2 linked regions of the Rattus norvegicus genome follow. The protein of the gene in region 1 purifies or fractionates together with the protein of each later gene. This does not show direct contact. Links are inferred from orthologs where the notes say so. Each region holds a gene or a part of one and is shown on either strand. Other genes may lie near its edges. The genes, in order: Exosc1 and Dis3l.

What was found.
Region 2: the proteins of Exosc1 (region 1) and Dis3l purify together in Homo sapiens (affinity purification with mass spectrometry; 4 studies listed by BioGRID and IntAct, counting the BioPlex papers as one, with this or other methods). This does not show direct contact. The link is inferred for Rattus norvegicus from reciprocal best matches to the Homo sapiens genes EXOSC1 and DIS3L.

Annotation. Positions count from the first base shown.
Region 1 is NC_086019.1:250,684,535-250,688,351, reverse strand, and holds the end of Exosc1 (exosome complex component CSL4), read left to right. Parts: intron 1-871; coding exon 872-905; intron 906-1,746; coding exon 1,747-1,797; intron 1,798-2,422; coding exon 2,423-2,507; intron 2,508-3,068; coding exon 3,069-3,175; 3' UTR 3,176-3,602; downstream 3,603-3,817. UniProt on the Homo sapiens protein: Non-catalytic component of the RNA exosome complex which has 3'->5' exoribonuclease activity and participates in a multitude of cellular RNA processing and degradation events.
Region 2 is NC_086026.1:73,704,377-73,708,193, reverse strand, and holds part of Dis3l (DIS3-like exonuclease 1), read left to right. Parts: coding exon 1-77; intron 78-2,785; coding exon 2,786-3,319; intron 3,320-3,817. UniProt on the Homo sapiens protein: Catalytic component of the RNA exosome complex which has 3'->5' exoribonuclease activity and participates in a multitude of cellular RNA processing and degradation events.

The sequences.
Region 1 (3,817 bases):
TTCATGTTCTTTCTCTGTTCTCCCATTATACTTATTATTACTGTGTGCCATCTGTGTGTGCCGACCCGTACTGCAGCACACACATGTGTGAAAGCCAGGACAACTTGATGGAGGCAGTTCTGCCTCTGTCCACTTTGATGCGGGTTCCATTGGGCTTAAACAACACACTGAGCCCTGAGCCATCTTGGCTATCCACCTTTGTCATTCTTTATTTTAATTTTGGGTTTGATTAAACCCAAGGGTTGTAAGAAAAACGTTAGAGAGGGCCTGGAGAGATGGCTGAGCTGTTAAGAGCACTTGTTCTTATAGAGGACCCAAGTTCAATTGCCAGAACGCACATGGTAACTCCAGTGCAAGGGACCAAATAGGCATGCGTGTGCTGCACATACATGCACACGGGCAAAACATTCATACACGTGAAATCAATCTTTAAAAAGAAGTAGCAAAGGTTTGTAGGTAAAATATTATGTGGCTTCTTTGAAAGGAAACAATTATGCAGTAATTGTAGACTGGATAATTTGGTGGAGGTGGTTTGGTCTGATTTGGTTTCATTTTTGGTTTTTTTTTTTTTTTTTTTTTTTTTTTTTTTTTTTTTGGACAAAAGTCCTATAGTCAGGCTATCCTTAAATTCCATATGTAGCCAAGAATTACCTTTAATTTCTGATAAGCCTTTCAGTCGCCAAGAGTTATAAATATTATTGTTCTGTATTGTCCAAGAAAGGGTACAATTTTATCATTCATGCTAAAGATGGCTCTCCATCCTGTGGCAGTTGGGAACCAAATATGGCCTACTCTGTCTGCTTTCAGTCTTTCCTTCTCAAATAACTAATCTTACTTTCTTTGGTTTTTTTGTTTGTTTGGTTTTTTTTAGCAAGGAAGATATTCGAGCAACTGAAAAAGACAAGGTTGGTGATTAGTGGTTTGAGCGTTTGTTCCTATGACTTTAGGAATCTTGCTTTAAAAATTATTATCCCCAGGACTCAGCCTTTTTAGAGCCATTACTCTTTGTCCAGAGGAACCAGTTTTGTTCCCAGCACCTATACAATGGATAACAACCCCCTGTGATTCCAGTTTTAGGGCATCTGACAACCTATTTTAGCCTCCACAGGCACCCACATGCGTGTGGTATACATACATTCACTCATGCACACATATATACACATTTAATAAGTAAATCTAAAAGAAAGGATGATGGATGGATGGATGGCCTGCCGACCAGCCTGGATTGATGCATACTCACCTTTAACTTCAGCTCTCAGGAGCCAGAAGCCTGCAGACCTCTTGAATTTGAGGCCAGCCTTAGGATGGTTAGAACTACAAAGACCTTTTCTTGTAGTACATTTCTACTATAATATGAAATTTAGATCTCTGTCCTTTCTTCCCATACAAGATGTTTTTCAGTTGACTGAAATAAGGTTAGGCTGTTACTCTCATTTAAAAATTATTAGCCAAGTATGGTGGTAGGTGTCTATAATTTCAGTGCCCATGAGGGAGAAGCAAGTAGGTGACCCCCTGTGTGTTTAAGGCCAACATGGTTTACAGAGCAAGTCCTAGGCTAACGAGGGCTACATAGTAAGACCCTGTCGAAAAATTAACCAATTAATGAAAGGTATTAGTAGGCTAGGGAGATGGTAAGTGCCTGCTGTGTGAACATGAGAGCCTGAATTTAGGCCCCTGGCTCCTCTGTGTGGTCAGTGGTGCCATCAGACCTAGTCTCTGTCTATTACTTCTCTTTGTTTTTTGCAGGTAGAAATTTACAAGAGTTTCCGGCCAGGTGATATAGTTTTGGCCAAAGTTGTATCCTTTTGAGGTGTTTGTTTCTTTCTTTCTCTCTCTCTCTCTCTCTCTCTCTCTTTCTTTCTTTCTTTCTTTCTTTTTGAGACAAGGTTTCTCTGTGTAGCCCTGGCTGTCCTGGAACTTATTCTATAGACTAGGCTGACCTTTGAACTCATAGATCCACCTGCCTCCTGATTACTGTGATTGAAGGGGTTCACCACCACTGTCCAACCAAAGTTGCATTCTTGGTTCCCCAGTTTTCTAGTTATCAAAAGAAGAAATGGAACAGGGCATGATGACAACATATAATCATAATACGTAGGAGGTGAAGACAGGATCAGGAGTTCAAGGCTGGCCTGGATAAATAAAACCATATGAGAAAAACAAGCATAAAAACCCAAGGTTAAGGGCTGGAGAGATGGCTCAGCAGTTAAGGGCACTGACTGCTCTTCCAGAGGTCCTGAGTTCAATTCCCAGCAACCACATAGTGGCTCACAACCATCTGTAACAGATTCTGGTGTATTTGATGACAGCTACAATGTATTCATATACATTAAATAAATTAAAAAAAAAAAAAAAGCAAGGTTAAGTAGTAGAAGCAACAGCACTTAGAGCCTCATTTCCCTTCACTGTGTGGTGTGACTAGATCTCCCTAGGTGATGCACAGTCCAATTACCTGCTGACGACTGCTGAAAATGAGTTAGGGGTTGTGGTGGCCCACAGTGAGTCAGGTAAGTCCTTGTTCCCAAGTCCCTTTTCCTGGGAACCTGGGTTGACTGGGAAATAATAGGGACACACATACTTATATGTGATAAAAAACAATATTAAAAAATATAGAAAATCAATTATGGATATCACATACCATGGTGGGTCCAGTCCCCAGCATCTTCCAGCAAAACAACAAAAACAGAAACAAAAAACCACAAGGTAATGTCACGTTGTGATGCATCTGTCTTACTGTGTGTGAGTACATGCCAGTGCTTGCCCCGTGATGACATCCCATCTCAGCATGTCCCAATGGTGGGGAATGTATAGCTCAGTTTACTGAGATTAGGTTGATCCCCTAAAGGTCAGAGATGAGGTAACTGCCCCATGTATCATGGAGTAAGTAAGGTTTCTTTCTTTTCCCTTAGAGAAGTGTTCCCTTGGTGCTGGGGATGGCACCCACGGACTTCCATATGCTAAGCAAGCTTTCTTGAACTGAAGCCATGTCATGTCTGGCTGAAAAGAAAAGAGCCTCAGCAGAGTATCTAGAGTCACACCTCCAACTCTCGTCTTTGTTTTCCTTCTAGGTGTCCAGATGGTCCCCATCAGCTGGTGTGAGATGCAGTGCCCCAAGACCCACACTAAAGAATTCCGAAAAGTAGCCAGAGTACAGCCTGAGTTCTTACAAACCTGAGCTCACTCTACCCACAGAGGGGGTCCACTCTCTAAAAGTACATGTGTGAAAAAAGCGATAAGATGCCATGGTCTTTACTGAGGTACCTGCAGTCAGCTGGCAACCATCTCCTGAAACAGTGTGCCCAAAAATAGTCATGCCGTAATGAACACCCAAGGCTCCCGCAGCTGAGGCAGGAAGATCGTTCGTGCCCAAGTTTGAGGCCAGCCTGGGCTGCATAGTAAGACTCTCAACCAAAAGACAAAAAAGAAAATGTACACTATTTGAAACACTATTTTGGGGAAACTGATTTTTATTCTCTGGCTCATGAATCTCATTTAAAGGCACTCAACCAACAAAATCATGTAATATTGAAAATACCTTATGCCTTTATATATGTGTACATATGTATTTTGTTATGACTGGAAAAAATTCTTTTCATTTGTTAGTGATATAGTTTTCTTCTTTGCGCACACGTGTGTGTGTGTGTGTGTGTGTGTGTTTTATGACACCAGCTTCAGCTTCTTCATGTGAATGCTTGGGAGTTTAACTCGGGTGCTCACAGTTGGGTAACGATTTCCTTTACCTTTTAAGCATCTGCCCAGCCCATGCTGTCACTATTTAGATGAACTTGCAGTGATCTTTCTCACTTGGCTCCCCAGT
Region 2 (3,817 bases), on another chromosome or scaffold:
CTAGCCGACCGCCGCTACGACATGCTGCCTTCCATCCTCAGCGCAGACCTCTGCTCCCTCCTGGGAGGCGTTGACCGGTGAGTCTGATTTCACCTTCAGAGCTGTCTGCCTTCAGTGTGCTCTCCCTCCACCCACACCCTGCCCACTGCCTTGGGAGCGCCCTCCCCTCCGACTTCTTCCCTCCCAGATATGCTTTCAGGGAGCTTTATTTCCAGCCTCCTCCTTTCTCTCTGCTCTGATGTTAGCTTTCTGAAGCCATCCACAGGCTGAGGAGAACTTAGTAAGCTCTCCAGTGGATACTGCTCTTCAGAAGGCCCCTGGGCGTAGGGAGTTTCTGTTTATTAGTGCGCACGTAAGGCAGCCACTCCAACACTAGGAAGCTCCAAGAGATCAAAGCACCTTCCTATTTTTTCCTGGGTACTGAATATTTTTTTTCCATTTTTAATACACACAGATATGGATGTGTGTAATTTTTATTTTTTTATAAAAATACTAGCATACAGTTGATATAAATGGGAGACTCCCATTGAAGGGGTGCTGGCCTTCCTGAGCAAACTGCTTCTGTTTCTAACCCAAAATATCTATGTTATTCAGCACTTAGATTTTTTTTTTTTAGACAAGGTGTCAGGTATCCTGTTCTCTAACTACTGGAAGCCAAGGATTACCTTAACTTCAGATCCTCCTGCCTCTGCCTGCGCACCAACGTGCCTGCTTTATACGGTGCTGGGACCAGCCCAGGGCTCAGTGCGAGCTAAGCAAAGCAATTTAGCAACTGAGCTCTAGCCACAACCCCTCTGTTCCTTTTTAAAAAGATTTATTTTGTGTTATGTGCCTTGAGTGTTTTGCCTGCATAAGTACCATAGAAGTGTATCTAGTGCCTGCAGAGGCCAGAGAGAGTACCAGATCCCCTAGAACTGAACTTTCAGACAGTTGTGAGCCACCATGTGGGTTCTGGGCACTGAACCCAGGTCCTCTGGAAGAGCAGTCAGTATGCTTATCACTGAGACAGGAGACTCGCCAGCACTGGTTTTCTCTCTCTCTCTCTCTCTCTCTCTCTCTTTCTTCCCCTCTCTCTCTGTCTCTCTGTCTCTGTCTCTCTTCCCTCTCTCTCTGTCTCTCTGTCTCTCTTTCTTTCTCTCTGTCTCTCTGTCTCTGTCTTTCTTTCCCTCTCTCTCTGTCTCTCTGTCTCTCTTTCTTTCTCTCTGTCTCTCTGTCTCTGTCTTTCTTTCCCTCTCTCTCTGTCTCTGTCTTTCTTTCCCTCTCTCTCTCTGTCTCTCTGTCTTTCTCTCTGTCTCTCTGTCTTTCTCTCTGTCTCTCTGTCTCTGTCTCTCTCTCTGTCTCTCTCTCTGTCTCTCTCTCTGTCTCTGTGTTTAGATCCACACAGTTAGATTGCACTCACAGAGGTTGCAGCAATCTGTCCCTACAGCAGTGAGTGAAGAGTTTGTTCCCACAGCCTGCCGGTGCACTATGCTGTCCTCTCATGTACATCAGCTTAGACGCGTAGTGTCTTGATTTAAACTTCTGCTTTTCTGCTCTGCACAGCTGAGCGCTGTGGTTAAAGGGTGTCCTGTGTCCTCTCCTGTGAGCCGCCTCACAGTCCTTATTGTTCTCATGTGTGTTTGTGAGTCACTGCTGATTGTAAAAACTCTTTTTTACTAGGAAAATCAGCCCCTCTAAAATGTATGTTATAAATATATAGGTTTTTTTCTTTAATAAAATGTCTCGGTGGCAGAGTGGCTCTTTGCTAAATGAGCTTTTTGTTAATTAACCTATCACCAAGATTGATACTGAGCTGCCTGTCATCTTGCAGGATTTAAAGGCTTTCTTCCATTCCTGGCACTAAACAGATTTGACTCAGTCAGTGCTAAGTTTTCCTAATTAAAATAGAGAGCCGTAAGGTTTTTCATGTTGTGTGGGAACTCACTGCAGAGTTGTTCTGGGTTTAACAGAACCCATTTTGACTTTGTTGTTGACACAGGTTACATAGTGAGTGCTATGTAGCCCTGGCTGGCCTGGAACTCCCTAAACGGACCAGACTGGCCTCAGCATCACAAATGTCAGCCTGTCTTCACCTTCCAAGTGCTGGAGTTAAGGTGTGTGCCACCACACCCAGCCTGACTTTGATTTTAACATTAAAATATGTGTGTGAATGTGTGAATACAGACAGACAGATGGGCAAGACAAACAAGACAGACAGACGGATAGGTTGTGTGTGTAATGGAGTGATTAAAAAAATTGCACCAAAAGTCTGTAGCAAGGTCATTTCTTTCAAATTTAATTCAAAATCAAGTTCTGCTTGTTTCTAAAATAGAATGGAATTAGACTGGAGACATGGCTCAACGGTTAAGAGCATTGGCCACTCTTCCAGGGAACTCCCAACAACCCAGGCTGATTCCCAGCGTCTACACAGCAGCTCACAGCTGCCTGTAATTCCAGTTCCAGGGGATCTGACACCCTCTTCTGGCCTCCTTGAGCAGCAGACACACACCTGGTATTCAGACATATACACAGGCAAAATACCTATGTATATTAATAAAGATTAATAATCTTACAAAAAAGAAATGAAGATGGCTTAGTGGGAAAAGACACCTGTGCTATGTCTGAGTTTGATCTTCAGGACTAACATGGTGGAAGGAGAGAACTGGCTCTCCCAAGATGGCCCCTGACCTCCACATTTGTCACGATACTCACATGTGCAACATACACGTAAACGTACACAAAGTAAATAAATTGTAACTTTGTGAAGAATGGAATAATGATTCTGTTGATGCCCCTCATTTTATAGGTATGCTGTGTCAGTCATGTGGGAATTAGATAAAACCTCTTATGAAATTAAGAAGGTGTGGTACGGCAGAACCATTATCCGATCAGCTTACAAACTGTTCTATGAGGCGGCCCAGGAACTTCTGGATGGAAACTTCAGCATTGTTGATGATATTCCAGAATTCAAAACCTTGGAGGAGCAGAACCGACAGGCCAAACTGGAGGAGTTAGTATGGGCAATTGGGAAGTTGACTGACATAGCTCGCCACATCCGAGCAAAGCGAGACCGCTGCGGCGCCTTGGAGCTAGAAGGTGTGGAGGTTCGAGTCCAGCTGGATGACAAGAAGAACATTCATGACCTCATCCCCAAGCAGCCCCTGGAGGTTCATGAGACGGTGGCTGAATGCATGATCCTGGCCAACCACTGGGTGGCCAAGAAGATCTGGGAGAGCTTCCCCCACCAGGCGCTGCTGCGCCAACACCCTCCTCCACACCAGGAGTTTTTCTCAGAGCTCCGGGAATGTGCAAAAGCAAAAGGCTTCTTCATAGACACACGGTAATCGCCACTGAGGGGGCAGAGGCATGGCAGAGAGTGCCGTGTGTTTATTTATCTTATGGTTGTTCCTAAAATGTGACCTGTAGCCAGGCACATTGGTGCATCAGAGCCTGACGCACCTGGATCACCAGGCTGAGGCTGGGCTGCTTAAAGAGGATTTAAAAACTATGATGTTGGGGCTGGGGATTTAGCTCAGTGGTAGAGCGCTTACCTAGGAAGCGCAAGGCCCTGGGTTCGGTCCCCAGCTCCGAAAAAAAGAACCAAAAAAAAAAAAAAAAAAAAAACCTATGATGTTGCCAAGCACAAGGGCCTAATTCAAATACCTTTGGTCAGGTTAAAATGGTTTTTTTTTTTTTTAAGCGTCTGTCTTCGAGCAACAGAGTCTGCAATGATTGGTTGAGTTGACTGCATGCTGGTCACATTGACCAAGGACTTTCAGACGTCCTCCTGGTTACTCCTCAGAATGCTGAGATAGAGTCCTGAGCGTTCGTTCAGTTT